Linked DNA regions of Macaca mulatta. The protein of the gene in region 7 interacts with the protein of the main gene of each other region in a biochemical or structural test. Links are inferred from orthologs where the notes say so. Each region holds a gene or a part of one and is shown on either strand. Other genes may lie near its edges.

Region 1 (2,427 bases), on a different chromosome or scaffold from region 7:
TCTCCCTCTCACCTCCTCGCCCTCTCACCCCCTCGCCCTCTCACCCTCTCGCCCCCTCACCCTCTCGCCCCCTCACCCTCTCCCTCTCTCACCCCCTCACCCTCTCCCTCTCTCACCCCCTCACCCCCTCTCCCTCTCACCCTCACCCTCTCACCCCCTCTCCCCCTCACCCCCTTACCATCTCCCCTCTCACCCCCTCACCATCTCTCCCTCTCACCCCCTCACCCTCGCCCCCTCTCCCTCTCACCCTCTCCCTCTCACCTTCTCACCCTCTCTCCCCCTCACCCCTTCACCCCCTCTCCCCCTCACCCTCTTACTCCCTCACCATCTCCCCTCTCACCCCCTCACCCTCTCCCTCTCACCCTCACCCTCTCCCTCACCTTCTCACCCTCTCACCCCCTCACCCTCGCCCCCTCTCCCTCTCACCCTCTCCCTCTCACCTTCTCACCCTCTCACCCCCTCACCCCCTTACCATCTCCCCTCTCACCCCCTCACCATCTCCCCTCTCACCCCCTCACCCTCTCCCTCTCACCCTCTCACCCTATCCCTCACCTTCTCACCCTCTCACCCCCTCACCCTCGCCCCCTCTCCCTCTCCCTCTTACCCTCTCCCTCTCACCCTCTCCCTCTCACCCTCTCACCTTCTCACCTTCTCACCCCCTCACCCCTTCACCCCCTCTCCCCCTCACCCTTTCACCCCCTCACCATCTCCCCTCTCACTCCCTCACCCTCTCACCCTTTCTCCCTCACCCTCACCCTCTCACCCTCTCACCCTCTCCCTCTCACCTTCTCCCCTTCTCACCCTCTCACCCCCTCACCCCTTCACCCCCTCTCCCCCTCACCCTTTCACCCTCTCACCCTCTCATCCTCACCCTCTCACCCTCTCACCCTCTCACCTTCTCAAAAATGCGATAGTTCCTCACTTTGTTGGAGGCTTCATCCCATACAACCAGGACCTACAGGAGGGAAGCAGGAGGCTGACGGCTCCCTGAGAAACAGCGGAACCAGCCTCGGGAGACCGTGGGCTGGGGATAGCGGGGCAGAACCATCAAGGCTGGGTCCTGTGGCCCTGGGGGGGTGGGGAGGGGCTCCAGACCACCTGCATAGATAGGGACAGCGGGGACGACACTGGCAGCCCTCAGAGAGCCTCTGATGAGCAGCAGCTCATAACCACCAAAAACCACCCCGACACACCCGGGAGAGCATGGCTCAGGGAGGCCACAGCTTCACGCTCGGAGGGACACGGGCAGACCGGGCGTTCCCACTGCCCCATGTGGCCTCCCCCACCCCGGAGCATGAGCCCTACCCCGCCCGAGTCCTGGCCCCCACTGGGAGGTGGCCATCATCGCCCCCAATTTGCAGATGGAGATCTATTAGGGAATAGATTAGGGGGTGCTGCTGGGCAGAGAATTTAGCTGAGACACCAAGTAAGAGTCCACAAGGGGAGTGGTCTAGGAACTGCGGAGTCCTGGGCCCGCCCACAGCCTGGGTATGTGGAGAGCCAGAGAGGCCAACCGCATGGGGCCTCGGGGCATCTACCCCTGGCGCCTACCTTCCCCGACTTGGTAGAGGAGTTCCGGATGCAGTAGAGTCCATCCTGGGGCTCTCCCCGGGGGCTTGTAGCCTTGAACAGCCTAAAATAAGACAGTCATATTGGCATGTGAGCCCTTCTCGGGCAGCTTTCACAGGGACTTTCCCGCCCCGCTCCCAAGCCCGGCTTTCTGTCCTCTCGCTGTTGTATGTCTCAGGCGCTGAGTGTGTCGGGCTGCCGTGAAGCTGAGGGAAGCAGCCCAGCAGAGCCCTGGCCAGCCAGGGTGCCAGCTGGGCATGGGACACAGCAGGGGGGTCCAGTCCTCTGGCTCCTTCTGCACGCAGGGCCATATACCTGTGCCAGCAACTCCCCAACACAGAAGCTAGTGAGAGGGACACAGCGGGGGACCCAGGGCATCCAGGGCTTTGTGCTGACCTTTCCACTTCGCAGGATTCCGTGGTGTTGATGAAGACCGAGTTGGGCAGCGGCACCTGCAAGAGGCTGACGGTGTCAGTGCCAAGGTCGGAGCGATCCACCCACACCACCACTCCCCGGACCGCGGCCACCCAGTGCCAGGATCTGGGGCTTTGCATGGTGCTGTGTCCCCCCTAGGCTCCCGGGTTCTCGAGGGGTCCTTGCTCAGGATGGTCTGTGAGGGGCCACCCTGGCCTATGGCTCTCCCACCACCTGTCCCTCTGCTGGCCACTGGGACCTGGGCTTGCTGCTCAGCCTTGCCTTCTCATAGTCCTCGTCCGAGTCGTCCCCGCCAGCATCAGCCTGCGAGGGTTGCCGGGGCTTTTCAAATGAGAAGCTCCTGAAGCTCTGCCCATCGGGAGGCGATCGCCTGGAAGGCGAGGCAGGGAGACAAAGGCAGGACCATTTCACTGTCAGACACGG
Region 2 (3,500 bases), on a different chromosome or scaffold from region 7:
GGAGCTTGCAGTGAGCTGAGATCCGGCCACTGCACTCCAGTCTGGGCGACAAAGCGAGACTCTGTCTCAACAAAAAAAAAAAAAAAAGAAAATGCAGAAATCACCGGTCTTCTGTGTCGCTCGTGCTGGGAGTTGGAGACTGGAGCTGTTCCTATTCGGCCATCTTGCTCCAAGAGTGTTTTCTTTTGGGGAATACTAAGGAGCCCCTGGGAGGAATGACCACAGCGGAAGCAAGCCCTGTAGTTACAGGCATTAATTCAGTAGATACACAGGGAGTGGCGAGTGTGTACCAGACACTGTTCTAATGGACAGAACATACCCAAGTCTTTTTGCCTTTATGAGTTTATATTCTAGTGCAGGGGTGTTCAATCTTTTGGCTTCCCTGGGCCACATAGGAAGAAAACGACTGTCTTAGGCCGCACATAAAAAACAGTAACACTAATGATAGCTGATGAGCTAAAACAAAAATTGCAAACAAAACTCATAATGTTTTAAGCTTTATGAATTTGTGTTGGGTCGCATTCAAAGCTGTTGTGAGCCACATGTGGGCTGCAGGTGGGACAAGCTTGTTCTAGTGGGTAGAGACACATAATAGATGGAATAAACAGTGAATGTATGTAGGTGTTAAGAAGGGAAACAGGAAATAGCTAGGTGTTTAGAATAGGGAAGTTGGGGTCTGGCTCATGAAAAGATCCCTTGCAGTGGTGGTCTCAGCCACTTGCAGTACAACTAGGCCTTCCTGCTTAGAACTCACACTTCGGTCATCACTCTGACTATTTCCTGGTCTACATTCTTGATTTTTTTGTTGTTGTTGAGACGGAGTCTCACTCTGTTGCCCAGGCTGGAGTACAGTGGAGTGATCTTGGCTCACTGCAACCTCTGCCTCCTGGGTTCAAGTGATTCTCCTGCCTCAGCCTCTGAGTAGCTGGGATTACAGGTGCCTGCCACCACGCCCAACTAATTTCTGTATTTTTAGTAGAGATAGAGTTTCACTGTGTTGGCCAGTCTGGTCTCGAACTCCTGACTTCAGGTGATCTGCCCGCCTCGGCCTTCTAAAGTGCTGAGATTATAGGTGTGAGCTACTGCGCTCAGTCCCTTGAAGATTTTTTATGATTTCCTCCTCTATGCTATTTATTTTCAACCATTCATGTACCCTTTTGAAGCTTGTTTATTTTAGGGATCTGCTGTGTACCAGCATATATGCCTGCCATTTTATTGAATTCCTTTCCAGTCCTTTCAGTAACCCTCTGCAATGGGTATTACCATCCCCGTTTTACAGTGGTAGAAACTCAGTCTTTAACTCATCAGGATTCAAACCCACATCTGACTCCAAAGCCTCCTCTGCCCTTTCTTCTCTTCCCCAGTGCTTTTTTCACTCACTAGGTCACCAAAGTGCTTATTCTTAGACACTTGTAAAAGGACATTTTCTGTTGATTATGAACCTCTAACTTTGTTTTAAAAGTGTGCCACGTCCCAAGGGTCTTATGTATTTATTTATTTTCCTAGAGTAAACCTGGGCTTTTGTTTTCTTCCCTTTAGATGCTCTGCTTCTGTACTGCCAGTGGATGTGCAGACACTAAACGCATCTGGGCCACCGTTTGGAAAACTAGTGGTTCAGAGTTCCATAGATTCTAGTGCATTCAAGCACAATGGCACGGTTGAATGTAAGGCTTACAACGATGTGGGCAAGACTTCTGCCTATTTTAACTTTGCATTTAAAGGTAACAACAAAGGTATATTTCTTTTTAATCCAATTTAAGGGGATGTTTAGGCTCTGTCTACCATATCAATCATGATTTTAAGTTCATTCCAACATTGACCATGTCATTTCTGGTAATACGTACATCACACCATACTGTCATCAAACTCGCTATGTTTCATTTTGTACTAGCTTGTTAAGTATATGTTTTTACCAGAGCACTTTTAACCATGCTACTTTATATATTTTATATGTATGTGCGCCTCTTTTATATTAGTTGTATATTTACAATTGTCTCCATTAAAAAGGGGTAGAGAAAGCAAATGGGGGGGAATATATTTACCTTACACCCAAACAGAATTAGAACAATCTAACATTTAAATTCAATTAAAAATTTCAATTATTTAAAGTGAATTATTTTAACACTTTGCCAGACACTGTATCCAAAAGTTAACACTGCCTTTATGAAGTCATGTTAGCAAGTTATTTCTTTAAAATATTTAAAATTTGATTCATGTGTGACTAACTCTCTTAACATAAGTTAAAAGTTCCTTGTGGGCAAATTGCTGAATTGGTACAAAGTGGGAAGACAAAGAAAGTGGGCACTTACTTTTTAGGCCTTCTTGGGTTTTGTTTGTTTTTTGTGTTTTTTTTGTTTGTTTTGTTTGTTTGTTTGTTTGTTTTTTTGAGTCAGCAAAGACTAGTGCCAAAAAGTGGCGTATTTTCTCAGGTTTTGAGTAATGAGGGGAAGAATCTTCCATTGTTCTACATCATCGATTTTTCAGACGGGGCAACGAAAAGCATACCTTAAAAATGGTGTTTTTTTTTTGTTGTGAAAGACATTCATGCTCAGTGTAGAAAATTTAGAAAATACAGGAAAGTGTAAAGAAGAAAATATAAACCATCCATAAAGGAAGCTTCTTTTTAAAAGTTGTACAAGGCAGGGATTTGATTGAAGTACAAAGTGCATTCAGATGTTGCTTTTCATTGAAAAACAGCATAAATTATTCCTTTTCTACAGAAATCTCAACTTCTATTCTGCAGTATTCTGGTTTCAAGTTATATTTTTAAAGATTCATTTGAATAACAAGAGTACGATGTAACCAAGGTGAAGCTCTGAGAGTCACATAGCTTTGCTTCCTGCCATGGGCTGTGAGTTGGGAGGTCAGTTTGGGAATGAGTGGCTGTGGTAGAGATCCCATCCTGCCAAAGTTTGTGATTCCACATTTCTGTTTGATTTTAGAGCAAATCCATCCCCACACCCTGTTCACTCCTTTGCTGATTGGTTTTGTAATCGTAGCTGGCATGATGTGCATTATTGTGATGATTCTCACCTACAAATATTTACAGGTAACCATTTATTTGTTCTCTCTCCAGAGTGCTCTAATGACTCCGACAATAATTCTTAAAAGGTGATCCATTTTCCCCTTTCTCCCCACAGAAACCCATGTATGAAGTACAGTGGAAGGTTGTTGAGGAGATAAATGGAAACAATTACGTTTACATAGACCCAACACAACTTCCTTATGATCACAAATGGGAGTTTCCCAGAAACAGGCTGAGTTTTGGTCAGTATGAAACAGGGGCTTTCCATGTCACCTTTTTGGGTACACATAACAATGACTTTAAGGAACTCCAGTAGCTTCCTTTGTTTTGTTCCACCTGAAACAATGAGTTTTCTGTGAAATTGCACCCCTTTTGATAGGTTTGGCATAGAGAACATTGTAGGAAAATGTCTCTAGACAAAATTGTTTTTAATTCCTTTATTGATTTTGAAACTACATAAATGATCCTTCAATTC
Region 3 (3,500 bases), on a different chromosome or scaffold from region 7:
TGACTTTAAGATCATCTTGTCAGTGTGCAGAGGGCAAGAAATAAGTTGATGTAAAGTTTTAATATCAATGTTTTCACCACTAATTTAGGAGGCACTAAGCTAGCAGTGCATTACCAAGCCCAGTCTGTTTGTCAAAACATTTTGGAACTTTTAAACTTGACTATTTGATCTATTTTGAAAATGTAAATAATAGTTTTAATCATTTTGAATCACATAGTTTAATAAGATATTTTTCCTTTTTCTTCTTAGATCCCAATTTTGTTCGGACATTTCTTACAACATACAGATCCTTTTGCAAACCTCAAGAACTACTGAGTCTTATAATAGAAAGGTCTGTCCATTTAAAAAATATTTAAATTCATTATTTTTTGTTAAAAAAGAGATTAAGCTAAGATCTTATGTTTTTCAGAAATGTTAGATGAGCTTTAAAATATACTTCACGAGCACTTTTTCAATAAATAAAATCTCTTAAATGAACATTTATTTTGTTAGCTTTTATTATTTCAATACAAAAATTATTTTTTGTATGTGAAAACTCGGTATTTGAAATTTCAAATTTACAGAACGATCTATATAAAATTTATAATTTAGAGTTGAGAAATTCAAATTTTGATGAGTTAGATGTTCTAAGTAAGTTTTCAAACATACTTCATGTTGAGTAAAATGGAGCTTGTCAGTGAACAAATACTGTGATGGAAGGAAAATATTTCATGTATCCAAACAAAGAGCAGTCAGTTTTTCTGGAATTACCCTTAACAGTGATTATGTCACCTGATTTAGAGTAATTCCACAGACCAAAAATGAATATCAGTCCCATAACTTTATAGTCACATTTATTTTTAGAATTTGCATGTATTCTTTATTTTGTTTGTAGTTAGTTTTATCTATATTGGCAAGTACTAATTTATTTTAAAATTTTAAAAATAATTTTATTAACCTTTAATATTATAGAAGTCTCACTTATTTACACTGACATGCATATTTTTAGTAATTTTTTACAGTATTCTCTTGATTTTGCTGACAGGTGGAAACATTTGTGGTTTTCTATTTGTATAACTCGATATAATTAGTATTTTCATTAATTTGTTCTATTTTATGTTAGGTTTGAAATTCCAGAGCCTGAGCCAACAGAAGCTGATCGCATAGCTATAGAGAATGGAGATCAACCCTTGAGTGCAGAACTGAAAAGATTTAGAAAAGAATATATACAGCCTGTGCAACTGCGGTAAGCATTAAATAAATGAAGCAAATAAGTCTTTATCAAACTTTCATTTTAGTGTTGAAGTATATAAGGACCTTTCCCAAACAAGGAGCGGGGTGACAATAAAATTAATAAATTAAATTTACTAATTATAGCAGTTATCAGAAATTATAGTGTAAGTCTTAATGTAGAATTTTGGAAGTGTTAGGCACCCTGATAAGAATAACTTGGTAAGAGTTACTGTGTTTTCATTTGTATTGTACCATGCATTGTGATAAACATTTATGTTTGATTCCCATGTAATTCAATTCTGTGTTAATGCTGTAGAGTATTAAATGTATGTCGGCACTGGGTAGAGCACCACTTCTATGATTTTGAAAGAGATGCATATCTTTTGCAACGAATGGAAGAATTTATTGGAACAGTAAGAGGTATGTTTTTTTTTTTTAGGTGCTTAGTTTTATATGTAATAAAAGTACCAACACGGTGACTATCAATTGATGTTATTGTGGTTCAGTAATACGAGATGTTTGTAATAGTACCAGCATAACCATTTGAAAAAGTTAAAAATTTTCATCAAACAACATTTAGACCTGCAAATTGCTCAACAGTCACCCTGTTGATCCAATGTATTTTCATTTACTGAATCAACTTACTGATTATTTTAAGAGTTGGTTAAGCCAAGTCTTCATACATATCCCAAAGTATGAGGGCGTTTGGGAATTACGTTGTGCCATTATAACACCACTGATGGAGGTCGAGTGGGCCACAGGTGAATAGAGAGAATCAGAGAGGAAGCAGAGTGGATTAAATTGAGAGTTTGTGTCTAACACTACCACTGATCAGATATGTGACTTTGGGCAAAATCACTTAGATTCTTTAGACTTCAGTTTTCTTATCAATAACATGAGGAGCTAGGTTTGTTGATCTCCAAGGTTTTCCTTCTAGTTTTAAAGATTATATGAGTGTATAGCTCTAAGGATGTCTTAGACAAACTTATTTTTATTTCCTTTGTATGCTCTAAATGATAATCAGAAAATAGTTAAATAATAGTACTTTAAATGTACAATACAAAACAGAGCCACATCAAAACTCACACTAAAAATGAAGGAATCAGTCCTCTGGCACTGATATTTATTGGTTTATAAAATGCAATGTGAATTAGATTAATAGTGTGTATAATCTATCCTTATAAATCTTGTGATTTACATAAGATATACCTTTTGGAGGATTATAAAATAATACATTAAACTGAAGATCAGAACAATGGGGTGGACAGTCTCTACAAATTAAGTACTTTCTAATTTTATTTGGAAAGGATCTGGAAGAACACGTGCCAGGCTACTAACAGTGGTTACCCATGTGGAGAAGAGTAGTAAGATTAGGATGGGGGCCGGGAAATGGAAAAAGGGAACTTGTATTTTTCATTTTGATCATTTGAACTTTTTATAGCAAAGATACGTTCAGGTATCATCTGTGTGATTTTAAACCATTTTAAAAATATTAAATAAAGAATATTTAAATGTTATTTAAAATATAATGTATTGCAGGTAAAGCAATGAAAAAATGGGTTGAATCCATCACTAAAATAATCCAAAGGAAAAAAATTGCAAGAGACAATGGACCAGGTCATAATATTACATTTCAGAGTTCACCTCCCACAGTTGAGTGGCATATAAGCAGACCTGGGCACATAGAGACTTTCGACCTGCTCACCTTACACCCAATAGAAATTGCTCGACAACTCACTTTACTTGAATCAGATCTATACCGGTATGTACTTTAACATTCAAGCTGAAAAATCATTTCAAAAGAGTGAATTTTTAAAATGAAATACTGATTTCTGCCTTACAGGGTTGTCCTAAGACTTAACTGAAATCGTACATGAAGTGTCTAGTAATGAGGCCAGGCAGGCACTTCCTGTTCTTTCACTCCCTTGGTCCCTCCAGCTGAATTTACACCTTCTGTCTTTCTGTGGTCACCCCTAGTTGGTAAGGCTAGGTTCAAATCCTGGCTTTACTAATTGCTGACCCTGGGCAACTTTAACCTCCTTGTGTAACTTTATCCTTCTGCCCCTTATTTTCCTCAAGAGTAAAATGGGGCTACTGATAGTACGTACTCCTGGGGCTGTTTTGAGGTTTGAAAGTCAATGTATGTACATTACCTAGCACAAAGTAAGGGCTCAATAAATGTTGGCTACTGCTTTATTGTGAACTTATAGCCATTATAGTCTTTTTTAGTTTATCATACTACATTGATATAATTATCTCAAAAATGTCCTTCTGATTTTAAATGGGGA
Region 4 (3,088 bases), on a different chromosome or scaffold from region 7:
TGTACCGCCAGGGTGGCTGTGCTGGCTTGGGTGGGCTTTCTGGACAGCTACTCCTTAGGTCAGTGAGCTCCTCTGGCATAGCCAAGGCAAGGAAAATGAGTCCCACAGTAGACCCTGCCTCGTCTTTCGCCCACTCAACCGCCACTCTCCTGACTCACAAGGAGGAAATAACCCCATTCTGGTGAGTGGCCTTAGGAATTCGTTCTAAGAAAGAATGATCTGGTTGTTAAAGGGCTCTCAGATCCGAATCCAGCTTCCCGATCCCCCCCAACCCTGAAGCTAGAGAACTGGATGTCAGGCTCCTCATCCAAGCTTTCTGAAGATTCCTGGTCACTCCCTCCAGGAAAAGAGGAGTTGAGTGTAAGGTGAGCAGGAAGGGATGGTGCAGAGCTACCCCCAGACATAGGCCGGTGCCTAACTGTTCTCCAAAATATATTTGCAAATGGAGAAAGTGGGTGTGGAGAAGGACCCCCCACATCTGCCTCCCCATACAACACCCATTCTCCCCCTGGGTCTTTATTTCATCTTTAAAAAACAAAACAAAGTAAAAACTAAACAGAAAAGCACTCTGTACAAGGCCTGGATACTGACACCATTGCTGCTCCTTCCTCATGGGGGGTAGTACTAGGTCTCAGGGACAATCTCTGAATGGGTCGCTCTTGTTCTTAGACACTCCCTTAGGGCCACTTCCCCTCTCAGGCCAGCTTCCCTAAGGCTTTCAGTATGCAGGATCTGGAAGGAAAGGGCCAGGCTGGGCTGTGGCATCCACTGGACCCTAGAGTCTCATTGGGCAGGGCCCCAGAATCCACCAAGACTCCCCAGTGCTGTTCCTCTTCCAACTAGGCTGGACCCCTTCCAGCCATCTGGGAACTCAAGCAGGAAGTTTCCTTAGGACAGGTTCCGGGCATGGCAGATTCCTCTGGAAGTGGTCGGAGGGCCCGCCCGCCTCTTGATGCCAGTGGAAGTCAGGCCTTCCCTGCTCCCTGAGGACACATCGGGGCTTCTGCGGACTTGGCCTTCTGGTTCACACTGGCATGTCCAGACCCAGGTACTCTGGGTTCTCTGCCGTAGGTGTCCCTTTGAAGGTGCTAGGTGGAGCCCCCCGCTCTGATGGGTCCTGGTCCCAGTAATAGAGGTTGTCGAAGGCTGGGCTGAAGGCAGGAGGAAGGTGGGGCTGAGGGGCAGCTCCTCCCCGGGGTGCCAAGTACTCGGGGTTCTCCACAGCACCCCCAAAGGCAAAAACGTCTTTGACAACCCCATTCTTCCCTGGGGAGAGAGTCTTGGGCCTTTCCAGAGTGGCACCAGTAGGTCGGGCAGGAGACAGAGGGCCCTCTTGGGGCGAAGGGGGCTGTGGCCGAACATCTGGCTGGTTCACATATTCTGAAAGGCCAAGAGAAGATGACCTATTAGGGGAAGGAACCCCGGTGTCGCTGCCACTCCCTCTGCCCCCACAGTGGACCCTGGGCTGAGGGTCCCCCCTACCCCGCCCATCAGTCTCTCCGCTTAGACTGGACTCCATACCGGGCTGGGGACTGCAGGTCAGGGGGGCAACGTAGCCGTCAGTCTCAGAGGGCAGGGGTACCGTGGGGTCCTCACTGTACCGCTGTAGAGGGCTGGGGTCATGTGCGGGGAGGCTTTGCAGCCCCTTGGCTGCCCCCATTCCTAGGTCACCATCAAATACATCAGAGCCAGTCCCTTCGGAGGGTGCCCGTGGAGACCTGGGGGCCTCCTCTTCAGAGGGCTCCAGCCCTAGCGTCAGGTCCCCACCGCCACTCTGGGGACAAGAAAGTAAGTCATGATGGGAGTCACTTAATGGATCTGGGATGGGGACTCCATGGGAAGTGACAGGGTCACAGGAGAAAAACAGGTCACCTTTGGGGTACGACACAATCACCGTGGAGAGAATGGGGTCACAGAGGTTGGAAGGCAGTAAGAATTTTTTGTAGGGATAATGGGGTCTCCTTGAGAGGTGACAGTTGAGGGAACATCAGAGAAAGGGACCCTAGTCCACCAGGGATGGAGGAGGTAAGCAGCCACACAGTGTGACCGAAGGCACTGACCCTGGTAGATGAGCTGCGGTGCCTGTGGTGGACCATGCCCCCAGTGCCCGGGGCAGGGTCTGGACAGAAGAAGCCCTGCTGGGGTACCAGATACTCCTCAGCATCCACCAGGTCCCCCATGTCATCGTCCTCCAGCAGTGAGCGGTAGAAGGTGCTGTCCAAGGGACTGGCTGGGCCCAAGTCCTCATTCTGCGGAGGAAGGAGAGGTGGGATGGTGGCCCCTCCCCAGCTCAGCATGCAGCCTTCCATGAAGGCTCATAGCAGGTGAGGGGCCTGACACACCGGACTCATCTCTCCTTCCCACCCTCTGCAGGAGGGTGCTCTTAGCCACAGGCAGGGATGGGGCACAGAGGCCCAGTACCTGGATGACCACAAAGCGCTGGGGGTCCCTGGCCATGCGGGAGAATTCCGACACCAACTCCCGGAATCTCGGCCGACATTCAGAGTCAATCATCCAACCTGGGGCAGGAGGGAGGCCAGCATCTAGCCCCGGCCCTGTGTGCCTGCTGCCTCCCCTCCCACTCCCGCTGCAGTCTGGTCTAGACAGTCCCAAGGGACAGCCCAAAGCCCTTGGTGGTAGAGAAGTAGTACCAGACTCTGGGGGCTTCAGCCAGAACCTTCGGGCATCTCTACTAGTTTCCCTTTTAATTTTTTTTTCTTTTTGTTTGCTTTTTTGTTTTTTTGAGATGAGGTTTCACTCTGTCGCCCAGGCTGGATTTCAGTGGTGCAATCATAGCTTACTGCCACCTTCAGCTGGGCTCAAGTGATCTTCCTGCCTCAGCCTCTCCCGAGTAGCTGGGACTACAGGCACACACCACCACACCCAGCGAATTTTTTTATTTTTTGTAGAGATAGGGTCTCACTGTGTTGCCCAGTCTGGTCTTGAACTCCTGGCTTCAAGGGATCTTCCCACCTCAGCCTCCCAAAGTACTGGGATTACAGGCATGAGCCACTGTGCCCAGCTTAATATTGTACATAAGGTTCTCTAGTTGTTCCTCAAGAGTGGCTTTGGACTTTGACTGTAAAAG
Region 5 (4,044 bases), on a different chromosome or scaffold from region 7:
GGGCTACCTTCACTGATGCCCTCAGCACCTTCTAAGGTGAGGCTAACACCAGCTCACATTGATGAGTTGGTGCTGGGCCTGGAGTAAAATGTGTATTTCATTTAAGCTACCCACCAGCTTGTGAGGCCAGTGCATTACAGTGACTGTGGGGCTCCTCAGTGTGTGTATAAGACAGAAACTGTGCATGGCCAAAGCTATGCTTGAAAACCCTCAGGGAGGCACCACCTCAAGGACCAACATAGCATCACTTAGTAAGGGCAACAGCCTTGGAACAGATGACTCTGTGTGTGTGCGTGTGTGTGTGCACGCGCGTGTGTGTGTAGCATTAGATGAAGTAGTAACTTATGTTTAGAGGTTGCCTTATTGCACAAATATAGTTGCTTTTACACACTGGACTCACCCTCTGCCAATAAGTTGTTCAATTATGAGAAATAAACAATGTCTGAAACTAAGAAAACAGCAGATTCTCACCTCCTATCTCCAGGGAATGTGCTCTTTGGCTAGAATATATGGCAGAATCAATAGTGAATAAAATATACTGTGGAAACAATCGTGAATGGAATATATGACACTATCAATAGCAATCGTTAAGTTTATTTTTAATTTTTCTTTTTAGGTTTGTCTAGTTAAATGCATCTAAGTTTTATGTGTATATGAAGAATCACTGTTTTCCTATTATACAGATTTGGAAACTGAGATTCCCAGCTTTTAAGTCCTTGCCTAAGGTTGCATAGCACAGAAACAGTCACATAAGAAACTGAGCCCTGTTTGCACAGTGCAGCACTTTGTTCAGCCCTGGGTATCTGACTCACTCATTCCTTGAGGACCCTCTCATGACAACTGTAAATAGGCAGCTGAAAGAATCCCAGTCTTTGATGGTGGGAGGGGAAGGTGGTTGGAAAGCATTAAAAGACCACGCTCCAGCAGTTCACTGATGTGGGAAATTGTCCGTATTTCAGGTCAACCATCAGCATAGATTTTGGTCTGCAAAGCCCCCGCTGAGCAAGAATGCAGTGTAGACATATGGGTGCCCAGAGTTTAAAGGAAAAATACTCGAACTCACATCGGAGTTTAAGACCCCTTCATTGCCTCTCCTACTGGGTTGGAGTGACTGGAGTCAGTGGGGAATTACCAACCCTGGGGCTGTCTCTGCATCTCAAGCCCCCAGAGCTGGGCTTCCTTGTTTACTTATTTAGAGCCCAGCAGAGGAAGTGGTAAAGGAAACTAGCTGAGTCGTTTTCTGAGAAGAGACCATATTTGTTCGCAGAGGAAGTCGTTGCTTTCTGGGATCTGGCTACGGCAGAAAAGACATCGGCTCCAACAAGGGTGTTCCACAGGGTAGCAGGGAGTTGGAAGAGCCAAGAACGCCTCCGAGCTCTGGATTTGAGCTTCTCTGCCCATGGGTGCAGCGCTCATGCTCAGCTTGTGAGCTTCCTCCTGGGAGAGCAGCCATGGCACTGAGGAATGTACCCTTTCGCTCAGAGGTCCTGGGCTGGGACCCTGACAGCCTTGCTGACTATTTCAAGAAGGTGAGCCTTGCTCTCGTGTGAGTGGTCATGATGATAGTGCCCTTCGTGGGCTGAACTGAGGCTTGACAATGGAATTGGGGCAGAATGTGGGAGGTGTATAAGATAGCAATGGAACCCTATGGCAACTTTACTGGTTGAGTGAGCGCCATATAGACCGCTGAGTTTTCCTGGCAATGAGTTCTGGAGAGAAGGATGTGAGCAGGAGCCCTCAAAAGAGTATGTGCCTATTATGTGCTAGGGTTTGAATTCAGTGTTTCACAGGCACCATCCCATTTAATGCTCCCTACTCTCCTGTGAGGTCAGCATTGTTATCCCCTTGACTCAGCTGTAAAGTCAGCTCAGGGAACTGAAATGGTCCGAAGCCCTAGGGACCACATGTGATAGAGGCAAGTTTCAAGTCACACCTATCTGGTTTTAAAGTCCATGCTCTGAGATGCAGAGAACTGTTGCAACTGCTAATGAGATCAACGCTCCTTACTAGAAAGGGGCGACATGGCGTCCTGGAGGCGGGAGAAAGAATAGGCAGGGTGGGAGGGCTGGTTAGAGGACTAAGATGAGCAGGTGCCAGACACGGTAGGTTAGAGGACTAAGATGAGCAGGTGCCAGACACGGCATTTAGGCTTTCACTGCTCACAACCCTGAGGGGGATCCTCAAGCTCCTGCTTGGGGCAGAGTCTCCTTGGAGCTTTATGAGAGTCTTGTGAAGCAGGCCAGAAAACTGATATAAGCCCCAATTTATAGCTATGAAAACTGAGGCCCCTAGAGGGGAAGAAGCTTGTGGCAGTCCTGGGATCAGAATGTTGCTGTCCTGTCTTCTGGGCTTAGAGGAAAGATTGAAGGATCCCTGTGCTTGGTCACTGGCAGAAGGGGACGACACATCTGCTTGGGCAGATCTCAAGCCACATGACTTAGTTAGTGTCCCCCTACCCTGACCATGCGGTAAGATGCCTTGTGAGAGACATTTAAGCTTCTAACACCTCATCCCTGCAGGCTGGCATCAGATTCTGTTGACATTCCAGACTGTCATAAAGATGAGATTGTAAAGCTAAGATGGTAGAAGTCATCTAACTCAGCTTCCTGTTTTTCCTGGGGAAATTGAGATTCAAGTGGGTAGACGAGGTTCCCTAGGACATATAGCCAAACCTGGAGTCTACGCAGTTCCAAGGCATTTATAGTCACAGCTGTTCTACCCCAATCTGAAGAAGAAAATGCGAACATGTTAAACTAGGTGTGGTATGGTAGGGGTGCAGCTCACAGATCCTGTTTTTTTTTTTTTTTTTTTTTTTTTGCCATATTTAGTGCTTTCATTTCTGTTATTTTCCTTCTGCAAGGTCATAATAAACTTAGGTTTCAGCAAATATTGTTGCACAGCTGGTTTTTTGAAGGTTGTTTCTAATATCTTTCTCAAATATAGACCAAACAAGATAGGGCAACAAGGTAAAACTTGCCAAGAGGGAATAAAGTGGCATGTTACCTTGGTAAAGGAAAAAGAAAGGAATTGAGAATTATGAAGAGAAAGACTTGAGATGGGCTGAGAGGCACAGACAGGCCTGACTTTCAGCCCAATTGAGCAACAGAGAACTGATCCCTAAAACTCCCGTCAGTACAGGGAGATGGACCATGGGTCAGGGACGGTATCGGAAGACGTCTGTGCCTGAGCTGGGGGAAGGGAGAGTTTTCTTCCTGGATATCTCAGACCCCAGGACAAATCTATGGCATCCAAGCAGGTTCCTTCTTCTGGCATAAATGGACTGAGGGGAGAAACTAGGAGACTGAGGTGAATCTGTGATCCTGGAAGTCCTAGTCTCTCCACAGACTTGGATAGAAACCCTTCAGATTCTGAGTACCTCAGCCCCCTGAAAGAAAATACCAAATGAATGGACTGCAGAGTTTTTTAGGAATAGATCTCAGCCATCAATCATGACATGTAAAGGATTGATCTGCAGATGCAAACTCTACCCAAGTAGTGGGGTCCGACCTCTCCTGGAGATGCCTCCCTTGGAGATACCTCCTGAGTCAGCTCTGGAGTCAGACACACCTTGCCCTGGCTCTGCCACCTGCTAGCTTGGCGACTTTCCCATAGTTGCTTTGCTTCTCTGTGCCTCAACTTCCTCATCAGTGAAATAGAGATACGAACAGTAACTAACTCCATGGGCTGGTTGTGAGGATTAAAGGAAATGATGGGTGTAAGGCATTCAGCAGACAGATGGGTCCTAATGCATGTTCCATCTGCCCTTTTTCCTTCTCTATTAACTGGCTCCTAGCTGGGGACACCAATGCAGACTGGTGGGATTTTGTGTCTTCTTGTCTCTGACATGTGTACCTCATCCTGTGTCTGGAATATAAGCTCCTGAGGACTGAGACCATGTTGTATATTTGTTCAATCTGTCCAATTCCTTTTGACTTGCAGGAGAACATCTTTGGGTCATGCAGTGGAGAGGCACTGGCTCAGAGCTATGTGTCCTAATCCCAGGTGGGGTCCCAGCTGGTATCTCAGCACACTGTGTGACCTTAG
Region 6 (4,130 bases), on a different chromosome or scaffold from region 7:
TTCAGTTGACCAGAAGACAGTCATATAACTACACCTAGCTACTAGGGAGGCTAAAAATTGTGGTCTTTATTCTTGATGGCCAGATGCCCAGAAAACCATCAGGGATTCAGTCAGTTACTCTTGTATGAAGGAGAGAGTAGATATTTGGGAAAAGCAGCAATCCCTACCTCAAGCCCATATTCAGGGAGAAAAAAAAAAAAAAGATCTTGTTTGAGCAGCGTATTTTCACACATATATCTTAAAATCTCAGAATAGGGGAGATCATTTAAAATATACCTGTACCCTACCCTCCTGAGTGTCTTGATTATGCTGGGGCATCCAGTATATGAAATAAAATAAGGCTGTTGTCTGGTAATTTACATTTAAAAATAAACATTGGAGAATTTCACTCCTATACAGCAAGAATGATTGTTTCATTTATTATTTATCACTACCCAGTACATGCCATCTCTGCTTACACTAAAATCTCTTGATTATTAACATGGTAGAGATAAATGCCACACATTATTTTTCAACTACGTACTAACTCTAAGGCAACATGCATGACTAGCACCCACCATTTGTAAGAGGTATGGGATTCAGTCCTCCAAGGGACCCTCACAAGGAAGCTAAGGATCAGAGGAGGCACAGCTTGCTCAAAGAGAAACAGCTTAGTAAGTGACAGATCTGGTAATCCAACACAAGTTTGTTTGTTTTTAAAGCCCATATATACTTTGTTTATTATGCCATTCTGAAGGATTCGCTTATTTTTCACTGTTTCACAAAATGTCAGGACAGAAAGGCAATCATCTATATGTAGCATTGAGAAATTTCTGTGGGCTTTAATTTAAATCTTAAAAACTAATAAACTTCAGCAACATATTTCTTCATTTTAATGTGTGAGGGGTTTGTGCTCATTACCTCTTTTAATTGTCAAACCCAATTTGGCGAAGATCCATTCAACAAATTTTTCTTAAACATGTTTTTTATGTGTCAGGCACTGTGATGGTTGCCGAGTATATCATGGTAAGCAAAACCACGCATTGTCCTTACCCCTTGTGCTACACGTTTTAACTGCTGGATGGATTGGATGGATTAAACCAGGAACTATAAAGACTAAACTGTAATCCTTACCATAATTTTGAGTCTACAGTTTTTCAAATATCATTTTGAGCCATATAGCAAAGGCTGTATGTATTTTTTACATATGCTTCCTCGTTTTGTGAATTTTGAAAGGATGTGGTTATGGCCTTTGACATCAGAGGAGACGCTCAGCTATGTTGGCTGAATGTTGATAGAAAGATAACGTTGAAGGCAAGTTGCCCTTGAGCAACTCTCTGAAGATCAACTGCCTCCACATTGCATTCTTTGCCCCAAAACTCTTCCCTTTGGTTGTGCTGAGAGGTGATGCCCAAGGTGCATCACGTTTCAAGAACTGGATCATGAACAACTTTATCCTCCTGGAAGAACAGCTCATCAAGAAATCCCAACAAAAGAGAAGAACTTCTCCCTCGAACTTTAAAGTCCGCTTCTTTGTGTTAACCAAAGCCAGCCTGGCATACTTTGAGGATCGTCATGGGGTATGTGAGCAGTTTCATTTGTCTTTTTTCGCATAGTATTTTATGTTTGGACTGGGCTAATGCAAAAGTATATACATAGCATACAATAGAATACAGGAAACACAAACATGCTTGTTGTAACAACATAAAAAGTACAGTAAAAGTAACCAGAGGAGAATGCAGAGAGCAGTCAAGAGGTGAAATGGTGGTGCGAGGCAATTTCAGTTCTAAAAACTGGAAATTTAATATTCATCAGCTTTTTCCCCGTGCAAGATTATGTTTGATTTTTAAATTATTAATAACATTTTAGGAAGCAAGTATTATGATTCATTAAAACTTGAACTTTCTATGAAACATACCAAATTTAATGAAACATACTAAACTTAATGAAACATACTAAATTTAATGAAACTTAGATTAATACAACATTAGCATTCGATGGGATGATCTACCCCAGCTTGCTTATTTTTAGTGGAAGAAACTGGTGTTTAGAATGGTTAAATTTGGGGTTCCGTGTTAACGTTTTCATGAATAACTCTGTCTGTCGCAATACTCGTCACTTGCCCAATCTTGAAATAAGATTCCCCAGGCATTTAATTGTCTAAAAGTTGTAAGGCACAATGGCAAGCCTCTTCATCTCTTGGTAGACTTCCTAGGACACCAGGTTTATTAAGAACAAAGTTTCTGCAGTGCAGACCAGCAGTTCTTACCCAGAAGAGTATGGCTGCTTAGCTAGGTCAGTCTGTCTCTGTATCTCAAAATAGTCTCATGCTTCTTTAAGATCAGTAATAACAAAAGCAACAGGAATAATCCTAATAATGTAGTTTGGCAGAAAAAGCATTGGACAAAGGGTCAGGAGACCAAACTACTTCTCAGTAGGTGATCCAATCTGGACAAATGTCTACCCCCTATTTCAGGTTCTTTCTTTATCAAAGGAAAAAACTGGAAATAACAACCTTCAAGATCCCTTTCTTCTTTAAAACTTCTTTGCTTTATGCAGTGGCTCTTGTTTAGCCCTATGCTGCAATTTTTCAAAGCGTGTTTGATTCCTTACTGTATGGTTATATTATTTTTACATCATTAGTGGGGTAGGACAAAGATTATCACTTATATTTTACTGAAGGGAAAATAATATTAGGTGCCTGATGGTCACTTAGAAACAAAAGTGCTCTGATTCTTTGTTGGAGTCTGACTTAGTAGCTGGAGGCATGAGTTTGGGATTCTTTGGCGTGCCAGGCTTTAAAGCATTTCATGAGGTGGAGCTCCAAAGGAGGTCAGGCTGGGTATAGAGTCTATGGATGCCTCACTTTTTAAAGTTGCAGGTGTTGCATGTCTTTGATGAATTACAAAAAAAAAAAAAGTTACAGGCAAAATAGTGCTGCCTCTTTAAAAGTGAAAAGAATTGCTTGTCTTGTTATCAGACTCTTACTGATAACAATTTACCAGTCAATCAGAAAACACATGGAATTATGTGCGAGGCCTCTGCCAGGTGGCCAGGAGCCCAGTTTGTGAACTTGGGGGATTTATCATGTAGAGCTAATAAATCGCATGGCATTACTCAATGCTTTTTTGTGAATGGAACATTTAAAGTTTTTGTTTCATATTGAAAGAACAGTCATGTACCTTTAAATATTTTTTTCAAAGCCCATTTTACAGTTTTCACCAGTTTGTTTTCCTGATTCAACATAGTATCATCTTATTTAGTTAGTACTAATAATTCTTTAGCCCAATTGTTATTTATGAACTGTTTGTGAATTCAGCTCAATATTATTTGCAAATAATCACAGAACCAGATGGCCTCAATTCAGAATTTTATTGGTCATAATTTGCAAGTAGACAAGGTTGTAAAATCACCCTACTTCTTTATCTGAGCATTATGAAAAATTCCAAGACAATTACTTCATTCTGGGGAGCCCTAGGCTGTAGTTTCTGATACTTCCATGTAAGATACAGAGAATACATGTCCAAACATCAAATTTCTTGTTTTCTAATGCCTTTTTTGCACTTATAAATAACATTTTTAAAGTATTTCTTTAATTATTTAATTATTATAGAGATTGATTAATTAGAAATTTATCCAAGGTCCCTGAAACAGGTAATATATGTGAGTTATTATCGTCCATGTCTTATGTATACTACATCGTTTAGGGCCACCAATTTGTACACAAGAGTGCATTAATATTACTCATAAGTAAATAACATTACACCTGTGGGAAGAACATTTTCATTTTTAAATTAAAGCCTTCACTTTCAATCTGTAAAATGGATGTGATACTAGTACCCATTTCATAGGAAGAAGGCAAAGACTCAGAGGTATAATGTCTTTAGGCTGAACTTTTTAAAATTATTTGGCAGGTCGAATATCAGGTATTAGAAGTCTCAAACAATTCAACTTAATGTTAGGTACTTAGCATAGGCCCTGCCATCTGGTAAGCATCTACTAAAAGTTAACCATTGTTTGTAGCCCTTTCACATCTCTACAGAAGCTAGCAGGGTGTCATAACAATTCATTTTCAAATTATGGGAGATATTCAAGGATTCTCCAAAATCAAGCTAAGATCAGGGTCCTGGATTCCTTCTATTCTGTGGCAA
Region 7 (3,500 bases):
TTAAGCAAGCCCTGGAGGGGTCCTGCCTGGCCTTAGGTGTATGAGCAATGTATGTACATGTTTGTATACAAGAGGCATCAAGTGTATGAGTACCACAGGAAGGAACTTCTCAGTTGGGCCCTTGGTGAAAGAGAAGGGAGCCTGGGAGGTGGACATTTCCAGACTAGGAATCAAGATGAAATAGGGATAGGAAGCAATAGCTATTCTTGCCCTAGGTATGGCTTAGTGGGGATGGAGCAGAGAGGGTGAGAGGGCAAAAGCTGGGGAGGTAAATTCCTGAGCCCTGTCACAAAGAGCCCTCAAGGCCATAGAAGATGTTTGTTTTCCTTAGACTGGCAATGGGCAGCCTCGGGAGGGGCTTAAATGAGGTCTAAGGGGGTCAGAATAATGTTTTATGAAGAGCCAGAAGACTGGGGAAGGATGGCTGATTGGTGAGAACCGGGGGCAGGGAAAACAGCAGGAAAGGCAGGATTCTCAGCTGGAGGACAGGCTGGAGGGGTTTGCTGAGGGGTTAGGTGGTTCCAGGTAGAACCAGGAGTGTGTCAGGGATCTAGGGTTAGGGCCAGGAGCAATGCCCACTGTTCCCGGTGGGATAGATGTGGAGTTCTGTGGCAGTTGCTAGAGGGACAGGACAAGAAGAGAGCATCTGGGGGAGTTGGGCTGTTAGGACATTCCAGCTAGGTTGGTGTGCAGTTTGGGCTGGAAGGGCTCCTGGGGTGGGGGCTGGCCAGGCAAATGCTGGCACTGCATCTGGCTCCAAAGTTACCAGGCCAGTCTGGGTTTAGAGCATTTCAAGAGGCTTCAGAGCTTAGGGAATACTCAAAGAAAGTCATCGCTGTTGGCTAAGCCAAGCTTTTTTCCTTTGACCTAATCTACCTTAAATTGGTGACTTCTGGGCTGAAATGTCTGCCCTCCGGCCAGCGGGCAGCCCCTCCCTGTGCTGGAGAGTGTATCAGAGCCTGTGCACCTTTGCTGAGGGAGCAGAGGAGTCCATTGGACGGGCTCCCTCCATGCCCCACATACAGTGCTGAGTGTTTCTAGCTGTTACAACTTTTGATCTTACCAACATCTTTCTGATGCTATTGTATGCTACTCTTTTATGTTACTCACTTCACAAGTGTAGCAGTGAGGTCAGAGCGGCTGTCACTTTATTGAGATCACATAGATGTGAGGTGGAGCTAGGATTTTAGTTCAGCCAGTCTCGCCCAGAGCTTGTGCATGTTTTTTCTACCACCCTGCCTTCTAGAGAAACTCAGTCAAACCCTTTGCTTTACAGATGGTAAAACTGAGACTGAGAAGTTAGATGAGTGAACTCGTCATTGTCTCAAGTTTCAGTGGCTGAGGCAGGTCATCTGCTATTCAAGCCCCTGTACCTCTCTGATTATGCCCTGTGAAGGCCAAGGGAGCATGCAAGGGCCTTGGATAGCTATGATAAGGAAATGGTCCCAGGCAAAACGGTGGTCTGGGTCCAGGATGACTGTTGCTCTTGGACAGCCGATGCCTTGGTCATGGGATGGAGTGGGGATTAGGCCCTTTGCTGAGACTGGTGTGGGGATGTCTTAAGCAATTAGGCATTTCAGGGATGCACCAGTCCTCTGGGCCTGAGCCTAATTCCCAGGGATCCTGAGGCCCATCTTGACCTACCCAGCCCTGCCTCTGGGACTTTATGATTTGATTGGTGTGTACCTCGTCTCAGGAAGTGGTCCTCATGAACAGCCTTGGGTCCCTATTTCTCCTTCTGGAGTCCAGCTGTTTCGCAGGTCAAAATGTCTCAGTGAGGGAACAAAGATAGGAAAGGGACACCCCACAGAACCGCCTTTGCCCCATATGGCCCTCTCTGACGTCTCAGCCCTTACTTAGCAAAGGCCTATCCCTAGACTCAACCCAGCCCTCTTATTACCCAGAGTGACTGAGTGGTCTTGGCTCTGCCTCTGGGGTTCTTCCCTGAAAGACAGTGTAAGAATGAGGAAACCGGCCGGGTGCGGTGGCTCAAGCCTGTAATCCCAGCACTTTGGGAGGCCGAGATAGGCAGATCACGAGGTCAGGAGATTGAGACCATCCTGGCTAACACGGTGAAACCCCGTCTCTACTAAAAAGTACAAAAAACTAGCTGGGCGACGTGGCGGGCGTCTGCAGTCCCAGCTACTCAGGAGGCTGAGGCAGGAGAAGGGCATAAACCCGGGAGGCGGAGCTTGCAGTGAGCTGAGATCCAGCCACTGCACTCCAGCCTGGGCGACAGAGCGAGACTCCATCTCAGGAAAAAAAAAAAAAAAAAAAAAGAATGAGGAAACTAGGCTGCCCTCCTTTCAGTATTGACTCTGGGAGAGCCCAGCTTGATCTTGGCCTCTTTGCTACCTTCCTAGTTGATATTCGAGAAATCAAGGAGATTCGCCCAGGGAAGACCTCACGAGACTTTGATCGCTATCAAGAGGACCCCGCTTTCCGGCCGGACCAGTCACACTGCTTTGTCATTCTCTATGGAATGGAATTCCGTCTGAAGACGCTGAGCCTGCAAGGTGGGAGTCAAGGGGGTGGAGAAGGTAGGGGATAGTTAGGGGATTGCCCGCTCATTCCTGCCCAGTGGGAGGTATGTGCCCTCGGTGCAGCTGATGATACCATGCTCACAGCCACATCTGAGGATGAAGTGAACATGTGGATCAAGGGCTTAACTTGGCTGATGGAGGATACATTGCAGGCACCCACACCCCTGCAGATTGAGAGGTAAGAACCACTCCTGAAGGGGTTAGGGCTGGGAGCATTAGGGACCAGGGGGACAGAAACAGCAGTCCCTTTGTGTGCCCAGGCATCTCCCAGGCCTGGCCGTAGATAGAGAAGTGGCCCTCACCTCAGGCTTCTTTCTCCAGGTGGCTCCGGAAGCAGTTTTACTCAGTGGATCGGAATCGTGAGGATCGGTAAGTACTGAGCTGTGACTCTAGCCCAGCAGGGTGGGGATGGGCATCCAGAACCTTAGCCAGGCCTCTAAGTAGCTGCCTGGAGAGCCAGAGGACCCAGGGGACCTTAAGCGGGGCCAGGGCGGTGGGCAGCAGGTTCTGCCACGTGTAGCTTTCTGCACAAAGTCCTCTGGTGGCCTTGGTGTGAGCTAGTGAGAGGAGCCAGCCACATGCTGTGTGCCCTGCCGCTATGGGCAGAGACTGGGTATGTAGAACTGCCTTTGGGTGTCCTGGAGGTGAGGGTGGCCAGTAGTGTGTGAAGGGTGCCCTGAGGCTTATGGCTCTGAGGCCTGGTGTGGCAGCCAGAGGGGCCAAGGAGAGAAGGGGGAGCAAAGACCAGATGGTGTGGGTGCTGCACCGTGGTGAGATCCTTTGACCTAAAAGAAATGGGAAGCCATGGAAGGGTTCTGAAGAGAGGAGTGATGTGACCTGATGGGTTACTCAGGATCACTCTGACTGCTGTGTGGAGAGCTCAGTTAGCTGTTTCCACACTCCAGGTGAAAAATGAGAATGCTTGGATCATGATGGTAATGGTAGGAAGTGGCTGGA

Evidence for each region.
Region 1: the proteins of PLCG1 (region 7) and SH3BP2 form a complex in vitro, tested with the Homo sapiens proteins (2 studies listed by BioGRID, with this or other methods). The link is inferred for Macaca mulatta from reciprocal best matches to the Homo sapiens genes PLCG1 and SH3BP2.
Region 2: the proteins of PLCG1 (region 7) and KIT form a complex in vitro, tested with the Homo sapiens proteins (3 studies listed by BioGRID and IntAct, with this or other methods). The link is inferred for Macaca mulatta from reciprocal best matches to the Homo sapiens genes PLCG1 and KIT.
Region 3: the proteins of PLCG1 (region 7) and SOS1 form a complex in vitro, tested with the Homo sapiens proteins (2 studies listed by BioGRID and IntAct, with this or other methods). The link is inferred for Macaca mulatta from reciprocal best matches to the Homo sapiens genes PLCG1 and SOS1.
Region 4: the proteins of PLCG1 (region 7) and ERBB2 form a complex in vitro, tested with the Homo sapiens proteins (2 studies listed by BioGRID and IntAct, with this or other methods). The link is inferred for Macaca mulatta from reciprocal best matches to the Homo sapiens genes PLCG1 and ERBB2.
Region 5: the proteins of PLCG1 (region 7) and LCP2 form a complex in vitro, tested with the Homo sapiens proteins (2 studies listed by BioGRID). The link is inferred for Macaca mulatta from reciprocal best matches to the Homo sapiens genes PLCG1 and LCP2.
Region 6: the proteins of PLCG1 (region 7) and ITK form a complex in vitro, tested with the Homo sapiens proteins (2 studies listed by BioGRID, with this or other methods). The link is inferred for Macaca mulatta from reciprocal best matches to the Homo sapiens genes PLCG1 and ITK.

Annotation. Positions count from the first base shown.
Region 1 is NC_133410.1:2,986,059-2,988,485, reverse strand, and holds part of SH3BP2 (SH3 domain-binding protein 2), read right to left. Parts: intron 2,375-2,427; coding exon 2,266-2,374; intron 2,022-2,265; coding exon 1,966-2,021; intron 1,634-1,965; coding exon 1,552-1,633; intron 956-1,551; coding exon 896-955; intron 1-895. UniProt on the Homo sapiens protein: Binds differentially to the SH3 domains of certain proteins of signal transduction pathways. Binds to phosphatidylinositols; linking the hemopoietic tyrosine kinase fes to the cytoplasmic membrane in a phosphorylation dependent mechanism.
Region 2 is NC_133410.1:78,765,787-78,769,286, reverse strand, and holds part of KIT (mast/stem cell growth factor receptor Kit), read left to right. Parts: intron 1-1,539; coding exon 1,540-1,733; intron 1,734-2,942; coding exon 2,943-3,049; intron 3,050-3,140; coding exon 3,141-3,267; intron 3,268-3,500. UniProt on the Homo sapiens protein: Tyrosine-protein kinase that acts as a cell-surface receptor for the cytokine KITLG/SCF and plays an essential role in the regulation of cell survival and proliferation, hematopoiesis, stem cell maintenance, gametogenesis, mast cell development, migration and function, and in melanogenesis.
Region 3 is NC_133418.1:85,931,113-85,934,612, forward strand, and holds part of SOS1 (son of sevenless homolog 1), read left to right. Parts: intron 1-249; coding exon 250-331; intron 332-1,102; coding exon 1,103-1,225; intron 1,226-1,528; coding exon 1,529-1,632; intron 1,633-2,751; coding exon 2,752-2,974; intron 2,975-3,500.
Region 4 is NC_133421.1:64,080,579-64,083,666, reverse strand, and holds the end of ERBB2 (receptor tyrosine-protein kinase erbB-2), read right to left. Parts: intron 2,588-3,088; coding exon of another isoform or gene 2,520-2,587; coding exon 2,422-2,519; exon of another isoform or gene 2,392-2,421; intron 2,282-2,391; exon of another isoform or gene 2,250-2,281; coding exon 2,061-2,249; intron 1,775-2,060; coding exon 1,522-1,774; intron 1,381-1,521; coding exon 1,025-1,380; 3' UTR 501-1,024; downstream 1-500. UniProt on the Homo sapiens protein: Protein tyrosine kinase that is part of several cell surface receptor complexes, but that apparently needs a coreceptor for ligand binding. Essential component of a neuregulin-receptor complex, although neuregulins do not interact with it alone.
Region 5 is NC_133411.1:179,163,762-179,167,805, reverse strand, and holds the start of LCP2 (lymphocyte cytosolic protein 2), read left to right. Parts: upstream 1-1,244; 5' UTR 1,245-1,451; coding exon 1,452-1,529; intron 1,530-4,044. UniProt on the Homo sapiens protein: Adapter protein primarily involved in signaling pathways within T-cells, as well as other immune cells such as platelets, mast cells, and natural killer (NK) cells.
Region 6 is NC_133411.1:166,050,683-166,054,812, forward strand, and holds the start of ITK (tyrosine-protein kinase ITK/TSK), read left to right. Parts: upstream 1-1,330; 5' UTR 1,331-1,421; coding exon 1,422-1,559; intron 1,560-4,130. UniProt on the Homo sapiens protein: Tyrosine kinase that plays an essential role in regulation of the adaptive immune response. Regulates the development, function and differentiation of conventional T-cells and nonconventional NKT-cells.
Region 7 is NC_133415.1:94,021,840-94,025,339, forward strand, and holds part of PLCG1 (1-phosphatidylinositol 4,5-bisphosphate phosphodiesterase gamma-1), read left to right. Parts: intron 1-2,363; coding exon 2,364-2,516; intron 2,517-2,627; coding exon 2,628-2,721; intron 2,722-2,864; coding exon 2,865-2,912; intron 2,913-3,500. UniProt on the Homo sapiens protein: Mediates the production of the second messenger molecules diacylglycerol (DAG) and inositol 1,4,5-trisphosphate (IP3). Plays an important role in the regulation of intracellular signaling cascades.